7 linked regions of the Cricetulus griseus genome follow. The main gene of each other region encodes a partner of the protein of the gene in region 6 in a complex. Links are inferred from orthologs where the notes say so. Each region holds a gene or a part of one and is shown on either strand. Other genes may lie near its edges. The genes, in order: Srrm1, Rbmx2, Ppil2, Htatsf1, Sf3b4, Sf3b5 and Sf3b2.

Region 1 (3,810 bases), about 260 Mb from region 6:
CCACAGCAAACCCCTTGATTATGAATATCCATCACAGGCACAGGAAGAAGACATCAAAACAGGAGAGACTGGCACTGTGCAGACTGGTAAGTTTGGTCCCCAGCACCCAAGACTATCTCTCTAGCCACAAAAACAAACAAGCAAGCAAGCAAACAAAGTAACTAATAAATCCCAACTGCCTATTTTAACCAAACTCCTTCTGTTTGGTATTTTAAAGTAACTCTTCTCTATAATCTAAATAGAAAAAAACATGTATTTTTCTAAAATTATAGTGGGAACACTTAAGATTGTCTTCCTCTTAGAGAGCTTTCTAGCTCTAAACAAAAGAAACATTTACAAGTATAGAGTTCACAGGGAACGACAAGCAGGCTAGGGCAGTATCAGGCTGAAATGTCCGCATTTTATATAAATATGGTGCATGTTAAAAAAAAAAAAAGCTGTCTTAAATACCACATCTTACTTGTCACTGGGTCAACTTAGCATTAAAGTAAAAATAATAATAATAATAATCCGCACATTACTTTTGCAGCTTGCCATCACCAGCAGGTCCTCTTTCCATAGATCACTCTCAGTCTAACAGTTTAAAAGGGGCAGCTAGTGTGGTGCACCCTTGAAATCCCAGTACTTGGGCAGCCGATGGGCCTGCCTGATCCTCCCGCCCCACTACACTCACCTTTCAGGCTGCTCTATTACTCCAGCCCTAGCACCAAAGGCACTATTCCAATGGATCCTATCCTCTCTCTCCACGTCCATTTTAGTGCTAAAACCCCAGCAAGTTACAACTAACAGACTAACCAACATTCTATGTGGCTGGCATAATCACAGGTCATCAATTTCTTAGAAACCAATCTCCTGAAGAGTGAAGACAGCACCCAAGAACCCTGCCTAGACCCTAAATCAATCAGTCAGTCAGTCATCCCTTGGGAGCATAAATGTGACCAAAAAGCGTAACAGAACATAAAGTTCTCAAGTAAGATACCAAACAAAAAGCCTTAAGAAGGGGTGTGGGGAAGATGGAATAGTTAATTGGTCTCAGAGTAACCAAATAAATTCTTACAGTAAGAAGACAAATCCCAATTGTTACCCCAACTCAAACAGCTCCAAGCTAGTGATCCACTTGCCACCTGCCCACACAAAGGACACTGGAAAAACAAACTACCTTTACAGACAGCCCCCGGCCCCCCGCCAAACACCTGAGAACAGAAAGGCAAGGCAAGCCATTTACATTGTTACATAGAAAGTACTGCCTAGCTGCTTCTGGAGGTGGAACAACTGGGTTCACCCTGATGCCAGAGAACAAAATGCTTTGTGTGTTTTTACCTTTACCCGAAGTTCTTCCTGGAGACACAGAAACACGACTTTTTCTTGTGCGGTTTGACTGCTGGGGGGTGGGGGAATGGCGAGTTTTAGGTGGTGGAGTTGTTGGAGATGATGGTCTGTGCCTTCGCCTTGGAGGACTTGCAGAAGGAGATAACCTACGAGTTTTCCGAGGTGGGCTGGAGGTCCTCTTGGGAGGCTTTTTTGGCGGTGACCGGGAACGAGATGACGAAGACGAAGAGCTACTTCCAGACAACGATGCAGAAGAACGCCTCCTTCTGTGGAATAGAGCATTCATCTCACTGCCTGCATCCCTATGAAGAAAGACTCCACAGTGTGTACAAGGTGCACAAAAACACGGCTAGTTTTTATCCAACTTTGGAGTTTATGTAGCTAAGTACACAAATTACTTCAAGAAGATTGGAAGCAAAACCATAACCTAGGACAGGAAACAGCTATTTCTGAGAGTAAATACACTTAACTCATTCTGATAGTGTTTGAGCTGTGAGTGCTATAATTCAGTAACGAAGCAGCCTCTTCCTGAAGAGTGATATTGGGGTTATGGAGTTTGTACAACTTTGGGGGTGAGAGAGTATTGCTCATTCAGAGTGATGTCAAACAAGTTGCACTAAAAATATGTGCAAGATTTGAAATTCATTTAGCTACATAAACTTAGAAGTAGGGGGGCCTCTCGAATTCTGCGGCAAAATCTGTGGTTAAGTTCTGTTGCAATTACGTGTACCTGCAGAATTCACCTTTGGCAGAAGAATTCCTGAGAACCTGAAAAAAAGAAACCCTACCTTAAGTGTGAGATTAAAAACTGGCTGAAAGGGAATCTTACACAATCTGCAAAATACTGTGACTGCTAAATTGTTTAGTGCGCACTATTGAAACACGCTGTTTGCAAAATTCCACAATGTAAGAAATTGTAGTTTCTTTAATAGTGTACTAAGGAGCACTGGCATTACTTCTCTCCAAAATAGAATGATCAATGTGAAAAGTGTGATGTCTGGAATTCTGCCATATACACGTCTATCCTTGCCCACCAGCTCAGCAGCAATTATATGCGTTTAAATACTGGTACCTGGACAACACTCTCCAAAGAAGATGGTATTCGTTGTTGTTGCTGTTAAAGTATGGGTCAGAAAGTCCCTACCTGCACAGATAGAACTTGGAGGAGCTTATGATGTTTCCCCATTTTCTAGCTGCTGTGGTTCTCTGCAAAAAACATTAACTTAACAGCTTTTCCAGGACTTGGGGTGACTTCAAGAGGTGGAGCACAGGCTCAGCCCTGGTTCAACCAGCAGCAACACAGAAAAATAGACAACAAAGTTCTGTCCAAAGCAGATTTGAAAAGCCTGTCAACACAGTAAGGCAGACAATTCTGTTCCTGGGCACAAGGCCTCATTTTGGATAAAGTTAGATACAATCTTATTGTTATAAAATAATGTATCTAAGATTAAAACATTTTATCTGATACCCATTTTAGGATGGTTAAACAAATTAAACATTTCAGCAATGTTTAAAATGAGTTAGTACTATTGACTGAATTAGAGAATATCTAATTGTCACAAATGTAGCTATTGTAAATTACTAGGAATGGCTGTTTCAAGCTTTCTTGTTGGACTATCATTGGATGGTTAGTCCACAAATAATGGCCTGAGACTTATTATTAATTATGAAAGCTTGGCCTTCGCTTAGGCTTTTCTCCCAACTAGCTCTTGTAACTTAATTAACCCATAGTTTTCAAATCTATGTTCTGCCATATGGCTCAGTTACCTCTTCTTAGTATAAGGACACATCAGACACATCTGACTTGTTGGCAAAATCCACACACCTAGATTCCTCCTCTATCATTTCTCTCTCTCCCTTAAGTCCCACCTATCTCTCCTACCTAGCTACTGACCAGTTAGCTCTTTATTAAACCAATCAGAAGGCACCTTAAGCAGACACATCTTTATAGTATAAACAAGTATTATGCAACAGCTCTATCTAGGAATGGAATTATGGAGAACTTTTCCTTTTATGCTACCTCTGAGCTGTTACAAAAGCTTCATTACAAGGGTGGAGAGATGGCTTAGCAGTTAAAGCATTAGGGCTGCTCTTCAGAGGACACAAGTTTGGTTCCCAGCACCATCAGGTGGCTCACAACTGCCTACAACTCGAGCTCCACGGGATTTGGAGACCTCTGCAGGCAGCTGTGCTCTCATGCATGCATTTACACTCATGCACGGGAGCACACACACCTCTACACATATTCAAAATATTTTTTTTTTTTTTGAGACAGGGTTTCTCTGTGTAACAGCTCTGGCTGTCCTGCAACTCACTCTGTAGACCTGGCTGTCCTCGAACTCAAAGATCTGCCTGCCTCTGCTTCTGAAGTGCTGGGATTAAAGGTGTGTGCCACCACCACCCGGCCAAAATAAATCTTAAAAAAAGAAGAAGAAGAAGAGAGAATCACTGTAAAGGCCCTTGCTGTGCAAATCCAAGCTC
Region 2 (4,529 bases), on a different chromosome or scaffold from region 6:
CCTCAAACTCATGGTGATTCTCCTACCTCACAGTCTCTTCTACTGGCATTAGAGGTATACAACTCCATAGCCAGCTTAAAATACTGTTTTTGCCTTACAAAAATAAACTACAGAAGCAAACATCTCTATGCACCCAGAAGGTAGGAAATGAAAGAGGACTTACTGTGAGAACACACAGATGATGTCTCCTTCTGTCAGTTCATAAGGAAGCCCTCCTAGAAGAAAACAAAGCACAGTTCAGGTCAGCAAACATTAATCAAGTGTTTACTGCATATTATGCACTGGGCCAGATACTGGAGGTGCAGAGTGAGTAAGCCCTGAACTCACAAAAATCAGTCTAATGCAATGACAGAGGATGAAAAGTGACAACAGTCCAGCAGAAAAGCAATTAACTCTTGGATCTCTGTGAGTTTTAGGCAAGCCTGGTCTACAGAGTGTGTTCCAGGACAGCCAGAACTACAAAATGAGATTGTCTCCAAAAACAGGAATAAAAGTGATTAAGTCTAAGTGGAAAGGGGTTACCACTTACCAAATTAATTTTTTTTTTGGTTTTTTGAGAGAGGGTTTCTCTGTGTAGTTTTGGAGCCCATCCTGCCACTCGCTCTGGAGACCAGGCTGGCCTCAAACTCACAGAGATTCACCTGCCTCTGCCTCCCGAGTGCTGGGATTAAAGGCATGTGCCACCAACGCCTGTCTTCCAAATTAATCTCATTCAGTCCTCACATCCAAACTCCTATAAAACAGAAAATTTCCTGCACAAGACTCAGATTTCACAAACATTGAGTTCAAATATGCTATTGTTATGCTCACCTATGTGTAAACTAAGAATTTTAAAGAAAACTGTTAGGCAAGTCACAGGAAATTATTTGCCTTCCATGTTTTTTACCTCCTGTGTAAAAAGGGGCTATCAGTATATTTGCCTCACAAGAATGTTATAAACACAAAATAAAACGGTGCATATAAAATGCTTAACACAATATCTAGTGAAATAGCCTCTTTCAAAAGTCAAACTGCAGGATTATTGGTTGTGACATAAAGTGAACAAAGGATAGTAATATTGTTCCCAGAGATATTAAGAGTTCCCCTTTGTAGGCTCTTAGTCTTGTCAGTAATTTTAAAACAGACTGAGGAAGCCTGAGATCCATTTTATTAGCATTTGAGAGAGAGCTGATGGGGAGGTGAGTTGTAAAATTTACCAGCTACTGGGAGGAGGGAGATGGACAAGACGAAGAAATACGTAGTTAATCAGAAGGCCATGCAGGCAGGCATGCTCAAAAATGGCGGCTAAGAAACAGCTGCAAGGGAACGGGAGAGCCTGTAGACTTGAAATAAGAAAAAGTCCAGAGTGTTAGGGCAAGCATGCTCAGGATTTCAGACAATATTCAAAGAAGGGCTAGAAAGGGAGGGGATGGATAAGTTAGATGTCAGAACAGCAGACAGATGTAACAGCAATAGGTAATAAGTGCAGTGAGGAACTCCTGCGGGACATTGCTTCACTAAGGGGATCATTTTCCTTCCATGTCCTCAGCATGTCTTCAGGTGAATGAGCTTTCCTGACAGGTGACTCCTGGCCAACTTTATTAAGTCTTAAGGAAGGGACACACTAGTATGTGGCAGTTAGGTTTGCTTAAAATGTCCCATCATATCCACCCAGGACCAAGAGTGGAATGTGGACTGTATTTTCACCAGGTGTATAGCTTTCCCTTAATGAACACGCCTAGATACCGCGACCTTTTCAGATGACATTCTAAATTTTAAGCAGGAGTAAAGCTGATTTTGAGTGAGGAGTCCACACGAAATATTTTCCAGATGGCTACTGTCTGTCCAGGAACCCAACAATCAGCAAAGTACTAGAAGCAAAAGTCAATCACAGGAGAAAATAGTTTTGCGGAGGGGCAGACAGTAAAAATGAAAATAATGACCACTAATCTCATAGTGCTGCAGTATGTAGTATGTAACCTTAAAGAACTCTAGTCACCTGTCCGCACCGCACTTTCTTTGGCCTCGTAATGTGTTGGCTGTGGAGTTAACTGTCTCTGGGCAGCTAAGTGGAAAGCCTTTAAGTGCAATGAATGGTAAATACCAATTCTAAGAAGCACTGGCTAAGCCGGGCGCTGGTGGCGCGAGACCTTTAATCCCCTTTAATCCCAGCACTCGGGAGGCAGAGGCAGGCGGGTCTCTGTGAGTTCGAGACCAACCTGGTCTCCAGAGCAAGTTCCAGGATAGCCCCCAAAGTCAGGGAGAAACCCTGTGTCGAAAAACCAAAAAAAAAAAAAAAAAAAAAAAAAAAAAAGAAAAAAAAAGCACTGGTTATCAGAAAAGATAACTGGAAAAGGACGAGTAAAAGAGAATAAAAAACGGACTGTGGGCAGACAAGCTGTGTGGGTGACAAGCGTGGTCAGCAGGGGCTCTAAGTAACCGGAGCGGGAGGGGGGTGGGTCGCAGCGACTCCGAAAGGCACTGCTAGAGAAAACTGTGGCCCTCACCAAGAAAGATCCAGGCGCTGTCCTTGTATTCCGAGTGCCAAGACACCTTTTCCGCCACCCCGAGTTGAGCCTCTCGCTCATTCAGTTCGTTGATCAGCTTCACCTTAGTTAAAGGGCTGCGCGGGAGGAGAAGACTTCGTTAAAAGTTCGTTTCCTCCCAGCCTGCCTTCTTCTCCCGCCCCGAGGCCTGAAGGCCCCACCGCCCCGGCGAGGACCCGTCACCGTTTGTGGGCAACTGTCCGCAACCCACTCCCCCTTCCCGACGAAAAAAACGAAGCCCTTACTTCATATTCGCGCCTTCGCGCTCTTCTCTCAAGAAATGAGCTTCCGGGTGAGGCGACGAAGGGCGGGCACAACCGATCACCCAGCTCAGATTGGAGGCGGCCGAACTCGAGGCGGAACTTCCGCTGGAACTTCCGCTCCGGCACGTTAAGACTTGGCGCATGCGCAGTAGCGTGGAAGCCTTTCTCGCGCTTAGTGCCCTTTGCTCCTGTGGCGAAGTAGTTCTCCAGTCAGTTAGTCAGGGAACTAGTTCCCTAGTGACGTAGACCAGGGGCGGGGTCCGGGGTTTTAAGGGACCTTCAGCTTCTGGATAGTTTTTGTTTGATTTAGCTTTAAACGTTTTCTGAATGAAGTAGTGTGTCTGATAGGGTGACGAAACTCCCTGTTCTCTCAATCTAAAGCCCTGTTCTTTCCCTCCATGGCAATTGCTCAAAAATAGTCCCTCAAAGCCTCCCTGTTTGGGATTTAACAGTAGAAAAGTAAAGAAAATAGCTATGAGAATTGTTTCCCCGCTCGAATATTAAAGACGGACCAGTGTGCCTCTACAGACCCAATTAAATACCCACAGATTTACGTAAGAAATGTGGTCTTACGCCGGGCCTTGGTGACGCACGCCTTTTATCCCAGCACTCGGGAGGCAGAGGCAGGCGGATCTCCGTGAGTTCGAGACCAGCCTGGTCTCCAGAGCGAGTGCCAGGACAGGCTCCAAAGCTACAGAGAAACCCTGTCTCGTGATCAACACGCCCTACTGGATTAACTGACTTTATTTTTTTTTTATTTTAAACTTCATTATTTCAAAAACGATTGCAAGTTAAACACTGAAATTAACCAGACCCAAAGACTCAAATGGACTTCTATACTGTTAGAATAGCATTGAGAACAGAAGCTGTGGAACTTCACATTGGATTTTAGGCTGTCACTATCAAATATATTTTTATTCACTTGTCCACCAACAAAACCAAAAAATATGATATCATTAGAGCTATAAGAATTTGATTTATATCCCCTTTTACTTGCATTCAGTCCATCCTCACCTAATATTTAGCCTTTCTTGTTCTTTTTTCTTCATGTTACATGGCACTCACATGTACATTTGTTCACGTATATGTGTATATTGTTAGCTAAATTCTGCATATAAGGGGGAAACATGCAGAGTTTTTCTGAGATTGTATGACCTCACTTAATACACTCTAATCGCATCCATTTTTCTACAAATTTTGTGATTTTATTTTTTCTTGATAGTTGAATAGTTTGCCACCTTTCATATATGCCAAATTTTCATTACCTATTCTTATGTTGATGGACAGTTAGGCTGATTCTAATTATTTACTATAGTGAATAAAGAAGTAATAAACATGAGGATGCAAATATCTCTATGACAGGGAGTTCTCTGGATATAAGCCCAGGAGTGAAATATTAGGGTCGTATGGTAGTTCTAGTTTTAGTTTTTTGAAAACTCTCCAGATTGATTTCCACAATGGCTGTATTGGTTTTCACCCACCCCCACCAGAGAATGAAGGTTCTTTTCTCTCCACATCCTCCCCAACATTTGTTTTCAGATTGATTGACCATAGCCACTCTGACAGTGACATCTCATGGTGGTATCTCAAAGTAGTAATTTCTATTTCTTATTTAAATTTTGTTTCATTATTTGTAATTTTCATTTTCCTGATGACTATGGATAGTGAACTTATTTGGTGACTGACAAATTTATTTCCTTGGTGTTTAATTTCAATTTTTTTGTAAATTCTGAATAGTAGC
Region 3 (3,810 bases), on a different chromosome or scaffold from region 6:
CTGCACTGCGAACATGCACAGCATCTGCTCTTACCGTCCGAAGATAGTGTGCTTCTTATCCAGGTAAGCACAGGAGCGAAATGTGATGAAGCTGGGGAAAGCACATGGAGGTCAGGGAAGCAGCAGGCTGGGCCACCCAGCATACTCTAGTTGTAACAACGACTGCTCCTCAGTGGAAGCCACCTGCCCTTTCCCAAGTAAATCCAGACCTCTGGAGAAATCCCAGAGCTCGGCTGCCAACATCCCATGAGAGCCAAGCAGGAGACAGTGGAGGCTTGAGCTCGCTATCCAACTATCTTCAGGAGGCAATGGTTAGGGGTGAAGTAAACAGGCCATGTATGTGCAGCCTGGAGGGAGCCCTAGACTATAGCCTATAAGTGGGTGACAGCAGAACGCTGGAAGACATCAGACAAAAGGAGGAAAGTACAGCTGGGTGTGGTGTGGGGACTCACAGTGAGCCCTCATCCCTGAATAAAATAAATACTATGGAAAGCAGGAAGTTTATGGGATGGGTTGCAGTGCAGTCCCTACACAAAGTGGTACATGAACTCAGCCCTATTGTGACAACAGGACACAAGCCTCATCCTGACAGCCCACAGAGACCCTTCAGTGAGTAATGAAGATGCATCACCCTGCAAGCAAGGGCACTCCTAAGGTCACCAGGCAAGTCATGGAGCCCACACCTATGCACAGTCTAAGCCTTCACACTAGCTGAACTCCTGTTATTGCCATTGGAACAAGGGCTCATTGGCTATGCTATGGAACCAAGGATGACTGAATTGATCAGACCTAGCTCTCTTGAATTTCTAACATAATAAAGGAAGCTAGAAAAAGAATGAAATGAACCTGGAAAAAAAAAAAAAGAGGCAAGTAAAAAAACAACAAAAATGCAACTGGAATATTTAGGTTTTGTTCAAGTTTTTGAAGAGACTGTAAGGAAATGCTGACAAAGGAAAGCTGTCACATGTCCTGGAGAAAGGGCTCAGCAAACAAAAGTGAGCGCAGCTCTTTCAGGGTACAAACTCAGCCCGTGCCAAAAGAAAATGACTCTACGTGCACACCTCTCCTAGCCATACAAAGCAGCAACAGCTCAGTCACATGACTAGAGACAGATTTAAAAACTAGACCTCTGACAACAGAGCCACCTATCCTGACAAATGTTAGACTACAAAATCACATTTCATTTGGAGCAGGACACACATGTGCCTACCTCCAACACCCAGTGACAATGTGACTGATGTGCACATGGGAAGTTGAAGATGTCTCCTCTTCTGATAAGTTCAAAAATCTACAAAGAAACTCTTCATATAAACTTAGGAGAAATGACTCTGCAATTAAAAGCACTGGCTGCTCTTCCAGGACAAGAGTTCTATTCCCAGTACTTACACTCACAATCACCTATAACTTCAGTTCCAGGGACCAGGCCCTCTTCTGTCCTCCTCTGGCATCAGGCACAAACTTACATGCAGTATACAGACATACACGTAGGCAAAACACCCATACACATTAAAAAAATTTGGTTTTGTTTTTCAAGATAGAGTTTCTCTGTGTAGCTTTGGAGCCTTTCCTTGAACTCACTCTGTAGACCAGGCTGGCCTTGAACTCACAGAGATCCGCCTGTCTCTGCCTCCCAGATGCTAGGATAAAAGGCATGTGCCACCACCGCCTGGCTAAAAAATTTTCTTAATTTTTTTTTTTTTTTAAGATTTGATTGTAGGGGCTGGAGAGCTGGCTCAGCAGTTAAAGAGCACTAACTACTCTTCTGGAGGACCCAGATTCAATGCCAGCACCCACATGGCAACTCACAACTGTCTGTAACTCAAGATCCAACACCGATACCCTCGTACAGACATACAAGCAGGCAAGACACCAATGCATATTAAAAAAATTAAAAAAGAGGATTTGACTAGCTGTGTGATGGCCCACACCTGCAATGTCAGTACTCCAAGGCAGAGTTCTAGTACAACCAACCAGGGCTACATAATGAAACTTTGTATCAATATAAGTTGGCATGGTGGCCCACACCTTTCATCCCAGCACTCAGGAGGCAGAGGCAGGAGACTCTGAGAGTTTGAGGCCAGTCTGGTCTACAGAGGAGTTACAGGACAGCCACGGCTACACAGAAAAACCCTGCCTTGAAAAAAAAAAAAAAAAATCAACAAATACTAAAATTCCTTTGTATAACATTATCCAGGAAGTCAGAAGATCCACATAAAGAAAATGACAAAACTGAGCTGACAAGCTGGCTTGGCATGTGAAGACACCTGCTGTGTTAGGCCTGGCAGCCTGGATGTGATGACTGGATGCCATGGTGGAAGGACAGTCCTGACCCTACAAAGCTGTCATCTGACCTCCACACGCACACTGTGGCATGAATACCCTCACATAAAATAAGCTGTAATCAGCTGTGATGGGGCATGGTTTTGTCTTTTTTTAAATGATAGCCACCTTTAAAGATACCTTTCATAAACAAGATAGTTAAAGAAGAAATGGACAGAACATTTTTTAAAGATTTTTTTTTATTATTATTTTATGTGCATTGTCTGTGTGAGGGTGTCAGATTCCCTGGAACTGGAGTTATAGAAAGTAGTGAGCTGCCATGTGGGTGCTGGGAATTGAATCCACATCCTCTGGAAGAACAGCCAGTGCTCTTAACCACTGAGCTATCTTTCCAGTCCTGATGGTGAAAGTTTTTAAACACAGCACCCAGTATACAGAGACAGGCAGAAACCAGCCTGGTGTACACAGTGAGTTCCACAAGAACCAGGACTACATAATGAGAACCGGTTTCAAAATATTTTTTAAAAAAGAAAATAACAAAACTATACTCCATAGATAAAAGATATACCCTGGATGGAGACAGTTCTCAATGGTAGAACATGTATTTAGCATGCACAAAGCCTTGGGTTCACACCCCAGCACAAAAAAGAAAAAAAAAAAGACATATCCAGGAGAATTAAGCCACATTATTTGATTAAGATTTGATGAAGAATAGAATACAATACAAACCTATTCCAAAACACAAGACCAGACATCCAAGAGCCTTACCACCCACCACCACACACACTGGGCTCTGATAAGCCAGAGCCTTAGTACCTCTTCCTGGCCTTTTGTCCTCAGAATACCTCCTCCCAAAGCACTGGACCAGCAACCTTGCATGGCACCTGGTACCCACACACTCCTGGTTTTCCTGTTGGACCCCAAGAGGCCTTTGGGAACCCACTCATGACCACTATTCTACCAGCTGACTTGGGCTCCTTTCCTGGAGACGCCTGTGCTCCACCTGACTGAACACCCCCTTGCTTGGATTTGACTTGGGCCCAGCACAACCTTTAGGGACAACGCCAGGCGCTTTGCAAACCATCCTAGCAGCTGAGCAAGAAAAGCTGGACTCACAACTGAGACTTGTTGGTGTTGGGCCCCGAGTTGGCCATGCTGAGCACTCCACGGCCTGTATGTGAGAGGTTGGGGCGGAACTCATCTTTGAAAGGCTTGCCCCAGTAGGACTCTCCACCTGGAACAGAAGAGCAGAGTCAGTGGTCAGCCACAGAGCCTTGTCCAGAAGCAGAAGACAGCGACCAGGCCCTGAGACACAATTCTTGATGACCCCTAGATCCTAGTGCCTTCCTCAAGCTGGAACTGCTCACTCACCCTGTGGGCCAGGGGCTACAGGGCCAAAGATACAAGGCATCATTCAAACACATGGATGGAAGTCATACTTGACCCATGCAGCTGAAAGCTTGGGGAAAAGACTATTATGCCCTGTAAGGGCCATGGGGCCACCTTATATTATTATGACAGGAGGGCATG
Region 4 (4,553 bases), on a different chromosome or scaffold from region 6:
AACCCTAAATGTTTCCAACCACAAAACTGCATTAAAAAGGGATAAATACCTGACACGTATACATTTGTATTTCTATCTTCTTCAACATGGAACCATCCTAAAAATCAAAATGAAATAAATAAAACACTTGCAAATAACAAGAATCACATTATGAAATCCTGGTAGTGGCAGCTTCTTAAAAACTTTTAGAATGTTCTCTTTATTTAAGAAAACTAAGTCTAACTCAAATCATTACCCAGCTTTCAAAAATACATAAACTTCTTGATTGAGAATGTTTTAGGGCTCTCTCTGAAAAAGAAAAAGGCTATCTCAATTCTTAATGACTTTACGCCTACATAAAAGTGAAAACTTACATTATGTTCCTTCAATGCTAGTATAATCCTCCAAAATGTAAAATGTATTTACACATTTTCCTATTTCTTTTTTACACCCAGGTTTTGCAAAACAGAACCACTTGCCTGATTCGGCCTTTCTCTTTTCTCCCCTCTTTTTGGAGTCAGTGGTTTCTGGGGTTTCTCTTTGTGGAGGTTCTTCTACTGTCTTTGGGTTGGGGTCCTGGACATTCACAGTAGAACTAGATGCACCATCACTAGAAAAGCCGTAATTAGCCTGATACGTAGCAATGAAATCTTCAGTGATCTAGATGGGTTAAGTCAGCACATATGCAGACATGGTTACTTCATGTGTTATACAACTGTACATTCAGTAATATAATCTAAGACTTTAACAAGTGTTTATGCCAAGGGTAGTTGTAATAATTAAAATATAATAGGAGAGCAGTCATCTTATATAGAAACTGTAACACGAAAAAAGTACGAAACTATGAAAAAGTGCTCAAACTACCAACAAAAAAGTATGAGAGAATTTTAAGTGATGCTAGCACCTTTTCTAGTTGTCTTATAAATTCTTGCTTCTCCACAGTATATCTGACTAAGGTGGCCGATACAGAGAACAAAAGAAGTATCAAATAATGATACAGAGTAAAACCAAAAGTCAACTAGAAATCTAATCACAGAATCCACTTTTGGATGCACAAAAATACGTATGTACACTAAGATTTTTATGTTTATGTATGAAGCTGGAAACTGCTAGAACACAAAATGCCCATTTGAGTTTGAGCACTAATTCAGAGAAACGCTTAGTGACAGAACAAAATCAAAGGCAAGCCTGATACACACCCATCGCCCTGGCTTTGCAGGGGAACCCACTATTGTAGAATGGCTGAATGGCTGAATGAGTTATGAGTTATGACTATCACTTTCAGGTACACAGAAAAGTGAAAATTTTACCCCCAAAGTTTGAAGAACCAGGGTTTTAAGTAACGTAAAAGATAAAGTTACCAAGTAATTGCCGTCGGACTATTAAAAGGGCTCAGAAGGTAGAAGAAATCACATCTACATTCAAGGTGGCATTACAAGTCCAGAAACGGGATAGCAAATTTCAACAATTTGGGGAGCTTGAGATATGGACAAATATAAAATAAGAAAGAATAGCTGAAATACTTTTTAAACTAACACTCGGTCTACACAATGGAGACAAGTTTTTTTGTGATTGGCTCCCAAGTCACTTGACGGGCTGTTCGTAACCTTTAATACTAATGCCCCTCCTAGGCTAAGACTAACAGCGTACTTTCTCCATACAGCTTACACTAGTTATTTCCACGTTGAAATTAAACACACAGCAATTTCCAAGTACTCAAAACGAATGTAGAGACCTTTTCCAACCATTTTCTGTGCTTTCCCAGTCATATTCCTGTGGTTACAAGAGTCAAACTTAGATGCCCTGGAACAAAATTCAGTAGAAAAATAAACCAAGACGCAAGGAAAGTTTATTCAATAGAGTGGGGTAAAAGCCTTCTTTCCCGCCCCCTAAATCAACAAGCTGCATTTTATCCACAGCATGGACACTAGACATCTCACAGGTTTGGCTATACAGGATAAAACGGTTACAAATGTGTTTTCCTTGGTGTTTTTCCTTTTGGCAATAAAAAGCAGTCATCAATATAACGCCTGTGACCTTCACAAAAATTAATAAGGCATAAAGAACATTTCAGGCACCACCATAAGGTTTTCTTTCCTTTATACATCGGATACTGGAACGGACGGAACAGACGAGCCATCAAGCAGCGGTTCAAGGACCTAGTACTTGAGAAGAGCAAACGTAAGAGGGGGTGTCCGGCAAGGGTGTCCAGGGGAGCCCACAGCCACGCTCCGCAGCGGCAGTCCAGCCACCCTTTTCTTACCTTGGGGAACCAAGCCTTCTTGTCAAGGTCCCACTCGTAGGGAGTGTCATCCTGCGGTTGTCCCCCCGCAGATTCCGTTTCTCCGGAGGCATCGTTCGGGGTGTCACCGTCCTTAGGGTCCCCGTACAATTCTTGCATTCGCAACTGTTCGTCAAACTCGTCGTTCGCGCTCAAGTTGTTGCCACTCATGTTTCTGAAGCGGGGCCGGGAGCAGCGTTCAGAGACGTGAAGAGGCCGACAGGGCGCTGGAGAAGTGAGAGAGCCGGAGGTCGGCAGAGCTCAGGTCGTGTGCGGTGCAGCCCCCTTGGCCCGCCTCCCCGCAACGCCCCAGCAGTCCCTGGGAAGGCTGAGCCGCGCCGCGCCGCGCCGCGCCGCCCAGGCTCCGCCCTCCCGGCCGGCCCACAGGCGCGCGCGCGCGCGCGCACTGGCGTTCCGAGGCCGCCGGCGGCGCAGTGGCCGCCACCCCACCTACCTGGCGGGCTCGGCGGGGCCTGGACGCCCCCGCTCGGGCCAGGGCGAAGCGGAAGCGCGCAGGCGCGCCGTCACCGCCACCGTCGGCTCCGGAGGCACCACAGCTCCCTCCCGCCTCAACAGGAAAGTCGCTTGAGAACGGAGTCCGCCTCAGGCCGATGCGGTCGCCATTGACCGCGCGTGGCGACGTAGCGGGTCGCGCTGACACGCCCACTCTTGCGTCAAATGGCCGCGACGCGGGGCGGGGGCGGGGCGGGGGCGGGGGGGGGGGGCGGGGGGGCGGGGCGGGGCTGCCAGGGAAGGCTGCCGCCGGAGTGTCCGTGCACCCGATGGGGACGCAAGCCTGCAGGAATCCATGACACCGCAGGGGCCTTGGGCCCGGCGGCGTCCTCTGCACTTTGGACGAGGCGACAGCCTCATTCTGACAGCAGTGCTGGCGCGGGCTGGGCTTTGCGGCAACCGCCATCTTGGGGAGGTGGGTGGGACCGTGGGGACAAGTTTCTCCCGCTTCGCGAAAGCCATGCGCCTCTTTTCACGCCAGATCCCGCCCCTGCGAAGGAACCAAGTATATCGTTTTGAATTTCTTGTCCTACACTACACGACACACGGCTTTTGCTCATCTCAGTAACCCAAACCAGTAACATGCTGTTTGGGATCTAGCGAAGAGTGAGTGAATAAGTGACTGAACATGGGCAGAAGGTCCCATCACCTCCTAAGCTCACCCCCTTTTTATGCATCTGGTAGCACCTTCCCTTCAGGTTGCAGTTGCTGAGGGTAGCAGTTGCCTGCATCATACTGCAAGGTACCAGAGGTGCTGAGGCCTGGAACTTGACGCTTGACTGTAAACATCCCCGTGTACAAATGCCAGCTGGACCATGTGGCTCGGTTTCTTGTCTCTTAGAAAGGCAACCAACTAACTGCCATAAGCAGAACTTTTCCCCAAAATACTTCATGTCTCTCTACACGACAAGGGGTCCATGTTTTAAAACAGGCAGGTTTATACTGCACTCCTATTAAGTGCCAGGCACTGGGGGAGGTTCTGGGACAGCAGTCGGGAAGACAGGCACAGATAAGGGAGACTCACTTATGATTTGGCGAACAATAAAATAGAAGTACCAGAAGCTGGAGAGCAGACATCATTTTGTTTTCAGCATCCTTTTATACTCAAAAACCTAGAAAATTCCAAAGTGTTTGTTTTAAATGTGGATTGCGGTTATCAACAATATTTGTTGCTGTAATCTTAACTATGCAAGTAAAATTTTAATTCATTAAAAGTAGCAATGAACTCTGTGTAAACATCCATATTATTACCCAGAGGTTACTTCAATTCCAGTCACCTTTGCTTGTAAATGCAATGGTTGGGTGGGTTCTAGAGCACCCTGGCTCCTCACAGACCTGTGAATCTGATTTCAACATTAACCATGTTTTTTTAAAACAGTTTTTATTTCCAAATACATTTATTTTTATGAGGTTCTTTTTTGGTAGAGCTGTTGGAGAACTGAATTTGTTGCTTGTTGTGATTTTGCTAGGTTCGTTTAAACATTACTAAGTATTTCTTGCTTTGATCTGGAAATGGTATAAAACTCTTTTCACTACTGTTGTTATTGGGCTTCCATTTCATTCGGGAGTACGTTTACAACCCAGGAGAGATACTGTCTACATGATCATTACTGCACAAGGCACACACTCTTTTTAAGTAAAATTTTATTTAAATTAGAAACAAGCTTGTTTTACATGCCAATTCCAGTTCCTCTCCCTCCCCTCCTCCCCTGCCCCCTACCAACCCCTTATCCCATGCCCTTTCTGCTCTCCAGCGAGGGTGAGGCCTTCCATGCGGGAA
Region 5 (4,413 bases), on a different chromosome or scaffold from region 6:
TGCTGGTTTGTGGCAACTGGCAGAAACATGTGTTAAACTTGCAAGTGGATGACAGTATACAAACTCCCAGAGTTGTGAACTTAGCTGCTACAAACAAGGGCTGTAGAAGGAGATGCTGGAAGGAGAAAAGTGAACTGTGGGTTGAGCAGCAGCCTTGTCTAGCCTGTCAAGAACCATGGACTAGAGACAGAAGGAATCAGTACCTGCACATTTAACACTACAAATAAACACTGGAAGAAGAACAAAGCACAAAATCTACACAGACAAAAAAGGGGGCTGACCCAGGTTGCTGAGGTTGATAAGTCACATAGAGGAAACAGTTTAATACATGCATAGCTCGTCATGTGTATAGTAGTGGTTAAGAAGCAGAAACAGGCCAGGCGTTGGTGGTGCACGCCTTTAATCCCAGCACTCGGGAGGCAAAGGCAGGAGGATCTCTGTGAGCTCGAGGCCAGCCTGGTCTACAGAGCCAGTGCCAGGATAGGCTCCAAAACTACACAGAGAAACCCTGTCTCGAAAAACAAAAACAAAAAGCAGAAACGGCTGCCCAGTGGTAGTGCCACCTTTAAACCCAGCACTTGGGAGACAGAGGCAGGCAGATCTCTGAGTTCAGGGCCAGCCTGGTCTACAGAATGAGTTGCAGGACAGTCAGGATCCTACACAGAGAGACCTTATCCCTAAAACAAAACAACAACAAAAAAAAATAAGCAAAAATGTCGCCTAGATCTGGCAACTGAGCTCCTTCCTGGGAATCAGAGGAGAGGCTGAGAGTAAAAACAGTAAGAACAGGCTATTCTGCAGAAAAAGGAAAAACCAGAGACAAGACGGGAGGGAGCTGAAGTACACACAGAAGTATTTTCTGAAGGAAAGGGAGACTCTAGACTATTTCCACCCAAGACAAAGAGCAGTGACAGAATCACTCTCACAAGCTCATCTCCGTTTCCCAGCAGACCACTTACCTGGATGGGGCATCCCACCTGGTGGGAATGGGTGAGGATGTGAGTGTCCGTGACCAGGATGCCCAGCTCCTGGAGTTCCTGCTGCTGGGGGGCCATGTCCTCCAGCCCCAGGTGGCATAGGTGGTGGGGGCATGGCTGGGGGTATCCCAGGAGGGAGGGCTCCAGGTGGCGGCACTGGAGGTGGGAAGGAGCCAGGAGGAGGCATGCCTATACAAGAAACGAGAGTCTATCTTGTGAAGAAAGAAAGACTGTCTTACAGAGCTCTAGCTTCCTTCCAGCACACTAAACTCCAGTCTCCCAAAGAAACCCAACATCTGCATCCCTTCCACCAGCACTCCTCATCCCTTTCTCGCTGCCCGCTGAGTTAACAGCTTACTCCCTCAGGGTTTCTTCTGCCTTCTGACCCTCCCTCCCAAGGGCCTCTCACTGGTGTAGTTTGAACTAAAAGCTTTACCTGGTGGAGGAAGCCCAGAACCCAGGGATGAAACCACAGGATTGGGGGCAGAGGGTGGAGGGGGTGCATCTGCGAACAGCTGGTGAGGACGGTCAGCCTGGGACAGCGGGTTCTGGGCTGCCAGAAGTCGTTCAGCTGCTGAGCCATGGCGCTCGCCTTTAGAGTCCTTCTTGAAGGCGTAAGACACAGTGATGGGTCTGTTACACAGGTACTGCCCATTCATGGCCTCAATTGCTGCATCCGAAGCATCAAAGGAGGCAAAATTAATGAAGGCATAACCCTTAGAGTTGCCTGTGTCAGGGTCCCGCATAATCTTGGGGGTTTGTAAGATGACCCCAAAGGCGCTGAAAGTATCATAAAGCAGCTTCTCATCGATTTCTGGGTCCAGGTTCCCAATGAAAATGTTGGCCCCTACATCCAGGTTTTTGTTGTGAGCTGAAGCCTTGTTCACCCGTATGGGCTTCCCATAGAGTTTGATCATGTTCATAATTTTAATAGCATAGTCAGCATCTTCCTCACTCAAGAATTCAACGAAGCCATAGCCTGGGGAATTGAAGAAAAGACTACTCAGATGAAGAGATTCAAAACGACACACTAACTCACCAGCCTCCAAACAAAGAACAAGTTGGAAGAATCCCAACTTCAAACTAAAGCTAAGAGACTACTCCTGAAACAAACTGCCAACTGAAGCTTAGAGAAAGAAACCATTCCAAAATAGCTGTGACTAGTGTTGAGATGCTTCAGGGGCCGCTAACCCAAAGTAAAGTCATTTCTTGCCGTAAATACTCACCTTGGTGCTGGCCAGTGACTCTATCCTTTGGCATGTGGGTGTTGACCACCGGCCCTGCCTGGAGAAAGAGCTCCCACAGCAGTGGTTCGCTCACTTTCTCGTCTAGACCGCCCACGTACACCGTGGCATCTAAAGCAAGAAAGCAGAAGGTAAGGACGAGGTCACGAGTTAAAAGGAAAACAGAAATTTAAAAAAAAAGTAACTAAAACCCTGAGATCACCCTTTGCCTGCCTAGTATAAAAAAACCCGCTCAAGTCTAATGTGGCGTTCTTGCGGATTGTGTACTTCCCGGTGGAGTTTCAATGATGCGCTTGGTAGCAGCGGGAGTGCCTACGGGAACCGGATCCAGAGGCATCACCCTCACAGGCCTCGGCCTCAACCCGGCCCCCAGGCCCAGCCCCCAGACGCGGGCCTTCCCGGGGAAACCTAGTTTCCCACGCTGGCGCTAACGCTTCTAGCACTCATCTGCCCTCCACCTCCCTGGGCCCACCTTGGGCTCTTCTCCCCCAATTACCCTGATTCCGTTCGGAGATGGGCCCGGCAGCCATGGCGAAGAGGCTCCCGCCGTCTCTAAGCGGCAGCACCGCCCTCTGACCTGTTACGACTTCCACTTCCGGGCCAAGGCTCCCATTGGGCGGGGCGGGCGGCAGGGGAGGAGCCGGAAGTGGCCGCGGCCATCTTAGGCGTCTGACGCGTGTCTGGAAAGACGCTGTGGTGGAGCTCTCACGACGCCCGGCTGGCGCCGAGGCGCTCAGGCCCCTCTTGACGACGCGGCTCTCGCCTGTCAGGCAGTCCCGCTGCTCCCCAGCCCAAATTTAAGCCCTAATCTCAGCCTTGTATGTTCTGTGACGCAGAGAAGCGTGCTGGGGGGAGGGAGGGGCGGGCCGGCTGCCTCGGGACGCAGCCTGTTACCTCAGTGCAGACGGAAGTGTCTGAGCCCCACTATTCGTGGGGTCATCTGAGGCACGGTGCCGCGTGTGTTCACGGTCAGTCTCAGCCTCGGGAGCACTCGGCAGCACCGTGCATCCCTCCCCTCCCACAGAAGAGACACTCAGAGAGCCTTCCTCCCGGGCCAGGACAGCCAGGGCTACACAGAGAAACCCTGTCTCAAAAAAAAAAAAAAAAAAAAAAAAAGGGGTTGGTGCTTCTTTCTCCAAATTTCGTCGGAATAGCCCCTCCTGTTTTGGGTCCTTAACTTCTTTTTTATCTATTTGTTTTGTTTCTCGAGACAGGGTTTCCCTGTGGCTTTGGAGGCTGTCCTGGAACTCGCTCTTGTAGACCAGGCTGGCCTCGAACTGGGTCCTTAATTTCTGTATCAATAATCTGGGTGCTTTTCTCTCAGTGCATACCCTCCCCCAACCACTTTACCGAGATCTTCATTCAACACAAGAAACAATACCAGCAATGTGTAGAAATACTGTGCTTTAATGAAGTCCTTAAATAGAAATACCACTACAAAAATATACAGTGGGAGGACAGGGTGTCTCCCTTATTTCCCTCATTCCCACAGAAGACTAAGAAACTGGATTTCAAAGCAGTGTGAGGGGTTGAGAATGAAGTCTCTGGGGCATCTTGTTGGAACTGATGAAGTGTCTCTGATCTCACAGTTTTGACAGTTTGTCATCTAAACGGCATGGAATTGCCAGAGAAAAAAAGGAAACGTTCTGAAGTGGTTTTGTTTCTTATTCCAGAGAAACAAAAATAGCTGGAGGTTGGTAGCTCCATGTCTGCTACAGAAACTCACTCACGGAGTGAGCTCCTTTATGGGCTGGAATGTGAAAGCTTGAAACACTGAGGTCAGATACAAAGAAACATGAGCAGAACTCCCTCCACATTCCCTCTGCCCTGCCTTCGAGAATGCTAGCAGTCTCAACGGATCTGAGAGAGGATGGTATTTGGATCTCTCTTCTTGCAGTGATCCTCAGGAGATATTCTTGGTGTCAGTTTTCTTAATAGTTCCTGAAGACAAGAGAGTTCATCCTGGAGGCCAGAGATTGTAAGAGCCGAGGAGCCCATCTGGGGAGGGGAAAACAAGGGCACAAAGGTCTCTCTCTCTTTCTTCCTCCACCCCTGCCCCCTTTCTCCTGGCTCCCTGTCTCTCTCTCTCTCTCTCTCTCTCTCTCTCTCTCTCTCTCTCTCTCTCTCTCTCTCTCTCTCTCATTTTGTTCTTTCAAGACAGGGTTTCTCTGTGCAGCTGTCCTGGAACTCAC
Region 6 (2,740 bases):
TGGCAGTCCTGAAACTCCACCTGCAGACTGGCCTCAAACTCAAGATCCCCTGCCTCTGCCTACAGAGTACTGGAGTGCTAGGATTAAAGGCGTGTACCACAACGCTCAGTGAATGGCTCTTACCGGTTTTTTCATGTGATCTTGAACTCAAGAAATCCTTCAGCCTCTGCCTCCTGGGTGCTGGGATTAGAGGTGTGTGCCACTCCCAGCGACTCATTGCTTTTTTGGTGTTCCTTCAGTAACTTAAAACACACCAACGAATGCCCTATTAGATGGTAAGCAACTTCCCATGCTCTGCACGGTTTTTCTCTGGATTCCGTAAAATCTTTTCTCAAATGTCATCATCGCAATATCTTAGCATTACAAGCATAGTATTTAAAATTGCGAATTCTTCAAGCTTCCTCAATCTCCCTGCATCATCTAGCCCTGGTCTATTTTAGCCTTTCTCCAAATTGGCATAATGTATGCCCCCAAACCTTTGGAAAACGCTCTGGTGAACACTGAATGAAAAAAAAAAATCCGTTCTTCATTTCTGAAGACACACAGACTAACTCTCAAGAAAAACAGATGCAACGTGCAACATCTTGAGACCTTGGTCCACAGCACCCTCCCCAGACCCCACCCAAGGAACACAGCAATCCACACCAAAAGATAGGACAAATCCTAAACTTTATAAACATGGCAAGAAGGACAACCAACTACTGAAAGGCAGACTCATTAGAAACGCGTCATCACTCCCGTGGCGTCTTCTCCCTCGCTTGCCGGGTCTAGGGTCGCTCCTCCCGCACAGTTCCCGGGGGTCCCGACAGTCTCTCGGTGACTTGTTCGGAATCGTCCACAGGTAAGCAGGCCAGGCGTGACAGACGATGAAGAAGCCCGAGCAAGGAGGACCGGCCCACCGCTGGCCGGCGGGGGAGCCTGGGAAGCGCTCGCCTCAGTTCTCCTCGGGCTTGTCCGCCGGCGGCCCGCTGGGCTGCAGCATCTTCTCCATCAGGTTGAAGCGCACGCGGGCCTTGCTCTCGTTCTCGGCGATGGCGAAGTAGTTGAGGAGGTCGAAGTGACCCATGTAGGAGCAGTAGGAGTCCCGGTGCTGGTTCACAAGCCATTCCCACTTGGTGGTGTCGGCGTGGCCCGTACCGATGTACTTGGACTGCAGATGCTCCAGCTGGCTGTGGATGGTGTACCGGTCCGTCATCTCGCCGCTCCGCTCTAGGCTTCCAGATCAGGCCGCAGACCCGACGCTACCCGCTCCGCGTTCAAACCTGAGAGACGCCGCCGCCGCCGCTGCCGGCCCGACACGGAACTTCTATCTGTGTAGGCGCGGGAGAAAGACGCCACTGTGGCGCCTGCGCAGACGCTCTTCTCCCAGGCGGAAGCGGAAGTGAATCCTGCCGCGGCATTGGAGTTGCCTAAGAAACATTGGGCCGTCCCCTCAGCGAGCCCGCCTACTTGGAGAGCGTTGCATGATGGTCTGCTGAGTGGCTCTTGGGTGATCACGTTCTAACTCCGGCGTTGCATTCTGGGATTTGTAGTCCAAAGAATTTGGCGTGTTTTTTTCTTTTGGTTTGGTTTTTTGTTTTCTTTTTCTTTCTCTCTCTCTCTCTCTTTCTTTCTTTCTTTCTTTCTTTCTTTCTTTCTTTCTTTCTTTCTTTCTTTCTTTCTTTCTTTCTTTCTTTCTTTCTTTCTTTCTTTCTTTCTTTCTTTCTCCTCCCTCCCTCCCTCCTTTCCTTCCTTCCTTCCTTCCTTTTTTTTCTTCTTTTTTTTTTTTGCCTGACTAATGTAGGATGGTGTCCAACGATTACGACTACAAGTGACCAGGAAAACTATCTCTTGTACCTAGAAGCTCACACGGACCGCCCTTGGTCCCAGCTTTGTCCCTTAGGATCTGGGTAGTGGGAAAAGTTCTTTGGGTCCTAAATGCTTGGTGATGAGTGTCAACACCAGGTGTCTTCCACATCAAAATCCAGGCTCCAACTCCTCACACCACCCAGGGGCCCGAGCCCTCCAACCAAACAACCTCCTAACTTTAAGGCTGCTTACAATCATTTTCTGGAAGTCAGTTGTGTCTCAAGACAAGTACTCTCTCCTTCTGTTTTTCTGCCTGGTTACACCTTATGTTCAACTTAGAGGTTATGTATCTCCTCACAAAGGTATAAACTACTTGAGAAAAAGATACTGTACTTCTTTTCTGATATCCTTTGAGGATATTATATAGCTTGATGGAGATCGTATTCTTTAAAAGAAAAATCTGATGAATGGACAAAGAGCAATCTCAGTCAAAGAGACTGATAATAGGGGAGGGCCCAACCTATTACAGTGGGGACACCCCTGGGCTGGTAGTCCTGAATTGAATAAGAAAACAGACTGAGAAAGCCACGAAGAGTAAGCCATTAAGCAGCACCCCTCCATGGCCTCTGCATTGGCTCCTGCCTTCAGGTTCCTGCCCTGCCTACCTTAGATGATGAACTGTGATACGGAAGAGTAAATGAAATAAATCTTTCATCCCTGAGTTGCTTTTAATTATAGTGTTCTGTCACAGCAAGAGAAACTTCAACTAAGACAAGTAGAATCTGCATGAAAATTCTGTTAGTAAGAAATAAATCAAAAATTAGTGCAATTCCAGTGCCATTAAGAATGCCTCAGGCAGTGGTGGCACACACCTTTAATCCCAGCGCTCAGGAGGCCCAGGCAGGTGGATCTCTATGAGATTGAGGTCTGAAGAGGTCTACAAAGTGAGTTC
Region 7 (4,506 bases), on a different chromosome or scaffold from region 6:
ATTTAGTACTGTCCTTTCTGGCGTTGATTCCCCCTGCCCTCCCAGTGGCCTAGGGTAGTGATGGTAACAAAAGGGTCAAAGTTTGGATATGGATGAAGAGAACTAGAACCAGTTTTCCCCCTGCCCCCGTGCTTTCTTTTGTCTCTTGAAAAACCTCACCTTTCCTGCATTTTGTATGCCCCCCCCCAATTACTTCTCCCTTGGGGACAGCTGGTGAAACGGAGGTGGCTAGGAAGAGAAAAGATCTGAAGTGTGTGGGTGAGAAATGAGACCATTTGTGTTCGTCTCCCTTATTCATCACACACAAGAACAAACAGGCTGCATCGAGAGTGGAGGAAGAACTAGAAGGGAGAAGTGAGGAGACAAAATGAATGGGTGGATGCTTGGCAGGCAAGGGTCATGGGGTCTCCACCCAAGAAAAGAGTCTGAGTGTTTTCTTCCTATAAGAAGATAAAATCCCAGGGATAGATCCCCCCCACACAATCATTTATTAGGTGGCTCCTGGATGCTAGATGCTTCATGATAGAAAAAGATCAAGTTCTTGCTCCTGTTTTGGGAATGGAGGTAGGAATAAAGGGTACGAAAGACTTAAAAATGAAACAGGACAGCTGGGCGCGGGTGGCACATGCCTTTGATCCCAGCTCTTGGAAGGCAGAGGCAGGCGGATCTCAAGTGAGTTCAAGGTCAGTCTGGTCTACAGAGCGAGTTCCAGGACAGACAGGACTGTTGCACAGAGAAACCCTGCCTCGAAAAAAAAACAAAAAAAACAAAAAGGGGCAATAGATTGGCTCACATTTGTAATACACTTACTTAAACAACGAAAACCTTGGGACTGGAGAGATGGCGTTAAGAGCACTTGTTGCTTTTGCAGAGGACCTGCAACCGTCTGTAACTCTAGTTCCAGGAGACACTCTTCTGGCCTCCACAGACATCAGGCATGCAAGTGGTGCACATTTCGTTTTGAAAACAAAAGGTGGAAAGTTGGGTGTGGTATGAAAGCTCCTAGAAAGGAGAGGAAACATTTGGCAGAGAAGGCATTTTCTTAAGCCTTTCTCGAATGTGGAAAAGGGATTTTGGTATCGCCCTTCCCCCAAGTCAGCAGCTGGAACTCAGCCCGGCGGGTCCGTTCCTCTACGGGCTCCGATCCCCTTTCAGCCCATTCAAGCACGCCTGGGCCGGGAGCGAGCAGGCAAACAATCGGACACTGTTTTATCAGAGGCATCGGCTCCAACCTCCCACTTGGCGGGCGCCGGAAAGCAGTCTCTATGAGCTCCTGGGTGGAATAAGCATCCAGGTACCTCATCACCGAGAGTGTCGGGTCAGAAGACTTAGTATGCGTTTGGGCAGGTGAGGAGAAGAAGAAAGGAACCAATGGGTGGAGGGCCGGGTCTTCTCAGGGCCCTAGCGGCGGATCTACCACAGGGTACGGGATGTTAAAACAAGCGTCCAGCCTCTAGGCGGTGCAACCGTAGACTACAACTCCCAGAAGGCCGTGCAGCCTTTGTTAGCGGCGAATCCTATCTCCCAGCGAAAGGCAGTGAGTGGGTGTCTGAATCAAGTGCTTTCCAATCACCGCGGGACGTGGCGGAGTGCTCTGCCGGAAGTTCCGGGAAGTAGGCCCGGTGGCTGATCCGAGCTTCCGTGTTGGTCGCGCGCCTTCTTGTGGCTAAGATGGCGGCGGAGCATCCAGAGCCTCCCAAAGGAGAATTGCAGTTGCCGCCGCCGCCACCTCCAGGCCACTATGGCGCCTGGGCTGCTCAGGAGCTTCAGGCCAAACTGGCGGAAATAGGAGCTCCGATCCAGGGTGAGGCTCCCGGGGCGGTCAAAGGGGGCTGCGTGGGCTTGCGGGGCAGTGGGACCTGGTTACCCAGGAGACTCACGGGCGGGGGGCGGAGACAGGCCTCTGGGGCCCGACCTGGCCAAGCCGGGCTGTTCCGGCTGGTGCTGACCCCGGATTCTGTGCTTGGTTCCGCAGGGAGTCGCGAGGAGCTGGTTGAGCGGCTGCAGACCTACACCCGCCAGGTGAGTTGTGGCAGGAGTTGAAGATTACTTTTCCTAGAGGCCTTTAAGATAGGCCACGGATCGGTCTTCGTTTCTTTTACATTTTTTTAAAAAGCTTTTAGGCGGGGTTTTACTGTGTACACCTGGTTGTCCTAGAACTCTCTCTCAGTAAACCAGGGTGGCCTGGAACTCAAGAGATCAGGCTGCTTCTGCCTGCCGAGTGCTCTGGGATTAAAGGTGTGCGCCTCCACGCCCGGCTGGGTCTTCGTTTCTTACGTACTTCATCGCGGCAAGTCGGGTCTTGACCGTTTTGTCAGTTTTTGCCTTTGCTTTATTGTAAAGGTTACAGCCCCAATCTCTGGCAAACGGGCATCGGGTGCACTTTGTTAAATAAATGGTGGAGGAGGCCGTGCAATGGAATAGTTCCCTCTTAGTCTGACACACAGTTCTCTTTTCTTTTGTAGACGGGCATTGTGCTGAATCGACCTGTTTTAAGGGGAGAAGATGGGGACAAAGCTGCTCCTCCTCCTATGTCAGCACAGGTAAGAGACTGTTTATCGGTCATTCTGTTCAGGATAACCTTTCTCCCATGCATTGCACTGGAGATAAGAATATAGTGAATTAAGGGTGGGGTCTGATGAGACAGAATTGGGGCCTTTTCACTTCTGGCTTTGTGCCGGTATTCATCAGTCCGCAATGTCTGCTCTTCTAAATTTGACCTGTCATTCAAGAGTCAACTTGAATACCTAGAATTCATACTTGGTTCTCTCCCAGTTGGATGTAGTCATGTGTTTTGTTATCAGGCATAGCTCCCAAAGTTATTCATTGACACTTTAAGGGGTAATGCTGTGATTTTTTTATTATATACCTCCTGCATTTAGTAATTCATTGACAGTCTGTGCCCTGGCACATTGGTTTCTATTTCTTTAAAAAAACATATTTAAAGTTTAGTGGTGGTGAACACCTTTAATCCCAGCACTTGGGAGGCAGAGGCAGGTGAATCTCTGAGTTTGAGGCCACCTTGGTCTACTGAGTGAGTTCCAGGACAGCCAGAACACAGAGAAATTGTATCTCAAAAATAGTATCTGTGTGTGTGTGTATATGTGTGTGTGTATATATGTGTGTATGTGAATATATACACATATTTATGCATATGAGTGTTTTGCCTGCGTGCATGTCTGTACACCATGTGCATGCAGCATTACAGGAGGCCATAAAGGGGCTTGGATCACCCTGGGGCTGGAGTTACAGAGGATTGTGAGCTGTTATCTGGATGCTGGGAATTGAACCCTGTGATTCAAGAGCAGTTCTTAACTGCTGGTCCAGTCTCTCCAGTACTGGTTCCTATTTGTTTAAGTTCCTTTGGAATCCAGTATTTGAGTGTCTTCCTCTAAACTAGTGGCTTTGGCCTGGGTGGGTGGGGTGTGTGTGTGTGTGTGTGTGTGTGTGTGTGTGTGTGTGTGTGTGTGTGTGTGTGTGTGTGTGTGTGTGTGTGTTTGTGTTTTGTTAAGTGCCTGTATAGACTTTAGAGGTGTTCTTGTATTTTCTTAAATTGAATGCAATTTCAGAGGACCCAATAGCTTTGTTTGATCAGTGTTCTAAAGTTAGCCTTTTCTTCTCTTGATTCTGCTATGGTGCATTTTCTTGAGTTCTGCATCACTAGACTTTGAATGCCTGGCTCTTTTGCTAGTTCCCTTTAGAACTTTAGCTAGAAAATGCTTCTAAAGTGAATAAATGCTTTCTAGTTCATAGCTATATATTTTTTTCCACAGCTGTCTGGGATTCCTATGCCGCCACCACCTATGGGACTCCCCCCTCTACAACCTCCTCCTCCACCTCCACCACCTCCACCAGGCCTTGGCCTTGGCTTTCCTATGGCTCACCCACCAAATTTGGGTCCCCCACCTCCTCTCCGAGTCGGTGAGCCTGTGGCATTATCAGAAGAGGAACGGCTGAAGCTGGCACAACAGCAGGCAGCTTTGCTGATGCAGCAAGAGGAACGTGCCAAACAGGTAGGACAGGTGGAAACCTTACCTAGGTCACCTTAGGTCCCTGATGGGGAAATGGAACCCCAGAAAGCTAGACCCGGAGGCTGTGCCTTTTAGGAAGGTCTTGGTTGAAGACCAAGACCTAGGTAACAGCTGGCAGAGAATCCTAGAAGCAAGAATTTTGGCAGATTGGCCTGGTTGTATTGTTGCTGGCATGAGTTTTTTTTTTTTTAAGCAAGGAAATCATTCATTGAAGGAACATAGCTCTTAGAGCAGCAGAAGAGGGTAATATTTCTCTCCCTAACTTTTATGTTTTTTTTTTTTTTTTTTTGAGACAGGGTTTCTCTGTGTAGCTTTGGAGCCTATTGTCACTTGCTCCGGAGACCAGGCTGGCCTCGAACTCACAGAGATCCGCCTGCCTCTGCCTCCCGAGTGCTGGGATTAAAGGCGTGCGCCACCAACGTCCGGCTCTCCCTAACTTTTAACATCATGGTCCATCCATAGGATGCCATTTAAC

The links.
Region 1: Sf3b5 (region 6) and Srrm1 share a complex: the UniProt entries of both Homo sapiens proteins name them as parts of the minor spliceosome. The link is inferred for Cricetulus griseus from reciprocal best matches to the Homo sapiens genes SF3B5 and SRRM1.
Region 2: Sf3b5 (region 6) and Rbmx2 share a complex: the UniProt entries of both Homo sapiens proteins name them as parts of the minor spliceosome. The link is inferred for Cricetulus griseus from reciprocal best matches to the Homo sapiens genes SF3B5 and RBMX2.
Region 3: Sf3b5 (region 6) and Ppil2 share a complex: the UniProt entries of both Homo sapiens proteins name them as parts of the minor spliceosome. The link is inferred for Cricetulus griseus from reciprocal best matches to the Homo sapiens genes SF3B5 and PPIL2.
Region 4: Sf3b5 (region 6) and Htatsf1 share a complex: the UniProt entries of both Homo sapiens proteins name them as parts of the 17S U2 SnRNP complex. The link is inferred for Cricetulus griseus from reciprocal best matches to the Homo sapiens genes SF3B5 and HTATSF1.
Region 5: Sf3b5 (region 6) and Sf3b4 share a complex: the UniProt entries of both Homo sapiens proteins name them as parts of the SF3B subcomplex of the 17S U2 SnRNP complex. The link is inferred for Cricetulus griseus from reciprocal best matches to the Homo sapiens genes SF3B5 and SF3B4.
Region 7: Sf3b5 (region 6) and Sf3b2 share a complex: the UniProt entries of both Homo sapiens proteins name them as parts of the SF3B subcomplex of the 17S U2 SnRNP complex. The link is inferred for Cricetulus griseus from reciprocal best matches to the Homo sapiens genes SF3B5 and SF3B2.

Annotation. Positions count from the first base shown.
Region 1 is NC_048595.1:17,934,216-17,938,025, reverse strand, and holds part of Srrm1 (serine/arginine repetitive matrix protein 1), read right to left. Parts: intron 1,632-3,810; coding exon 1,321-1,631; intron 1-1,320. UniProt on the Homo sapiens protein: Part of pre- and post-splicing multiprotein mRNP complexes. As a component of the minor spliceosome, involved in the splicing of U12-type introns in pre-mRNAs. Involved in numerous pre-mRNA processing events.
Region 2 is NC_048604.1:20,792,165-20,796,693, forward strand, and holds the start of Rbmx2 (RNA-binding motif protein, X-linked 2), read right to left. Parts: upstream 2,971-4,529; 5' UTR 2,932-2,970; coding exon 2,771-2,931; intron 2,603-2,770; coding exon 2,487-2,602; intron 216-2,486; coding exon 164-215; intron 1-163. UniProt on the Homo sapiens protein: Involved in pre-mRNA splicing as component of the activated spliceosome. As a component of the minor spliceosome, involved in the splicing of U12-type introns in pre-mRNAs.
Region 3 is NC_048597.1:72,241,536-72,245,345, reverse strand, and holds part of Ppil2 (RING-type E3 ubiquitin-protein ligase PPIL2), read right to left. Parts: intron 3,515-3,810; coding exon 3,397-3,514; intron 92-3,396; coding exon 35-91; intron 1-34. UniProt on the Homo sapiens protein: Has a ubiquitin-protein ligase activity acting as an E3 ubiquitin protein ligase or as an ubiquitin-ubiquitin ligase promoting elongation of ubiquitin chains on substrates.
Region 4 is NC_048604.1:15,383,192-15,387,744, forward strand, and holds the start of Htatsf1 (HIV Tat-specific factor 1), read right to left. Parts: upstream 2,858-4,553; 5' UTR 2,715-2,857; intron 2,488-2,714; 5' UTR 2,432-2,487; coding exon 2,243-2,431; intron 640-2,242; coding exon 459-639; intron 98-458; coding exon 50-97; intron 1-49. UniProt on the Homo sapiens protein: Component of the 17S U2 SnRNP complex of the spliceosome, a large ribonucleoprotein complex that removes introns from transcribed pre-mRNAs.
Region 5 is NW_023276806.1:60,350,821-60,355,233, forward strand, and holds the start of Sf3b4 (splicing factor 3B subunit 4), read right to left. Parts: upstream 2,876-4,413; 5' UTR 2,752-2,875; coding exon 2,718-2,751; intron 2,333-2,717; coding exon 2,204-2,332; intron 1,957-2,203; coding exon 1,414-1,956; intron 1,167-1,413; coding exon 960-1,166; intron 1-959. UniProt on the Homo sapiens protein: Component of the 17S U2 SnRNP complex of the spliceosome, a large ribonucleoprotein complex that removes introns from transcribed pre-mRNAs.
Region 6 is NC_048595.1:275,868,262-275,871,001, forward strand, and holds Sf3b5 (splicing factor 3B subunit 5), read right to left. Parts: upstream 1,345-2,740; 5' UTR 1,196-1,344; coding exon 935-1,195; 3' UTR 651-934; downstream 1-650. UniProt on the Homo sapiens protein: Component of the 17S U2 SnRNP complex of the spliceosome, a large ribonucleoprotein complex that removes introns from transcribed pre-mRNAs.
Region 7 is NC_048596.1:54,019,450-54,023,955, forward strand, and holds the start of Sf3b2 (splicing factor 3B subunit 2), read left to right. Parts: upstream 1-1,637; 5' UTR 1,638-1,671; coding exon 1,672-1,804; intron 1,805-1,975; coding exon 1,976-2,022; intron 2,023-2,465; coding exon 2,466-2,543; intron 2,544-3,773; coding exon 3,774-4,013; intron 4,014-4,506. UniProt on the Homo sapiens protein: Component of the 17S U2 SnRNP complex of the spliceosome, a large ribonucleoprotein complex that removes introns from transcribed pre-mRNAs.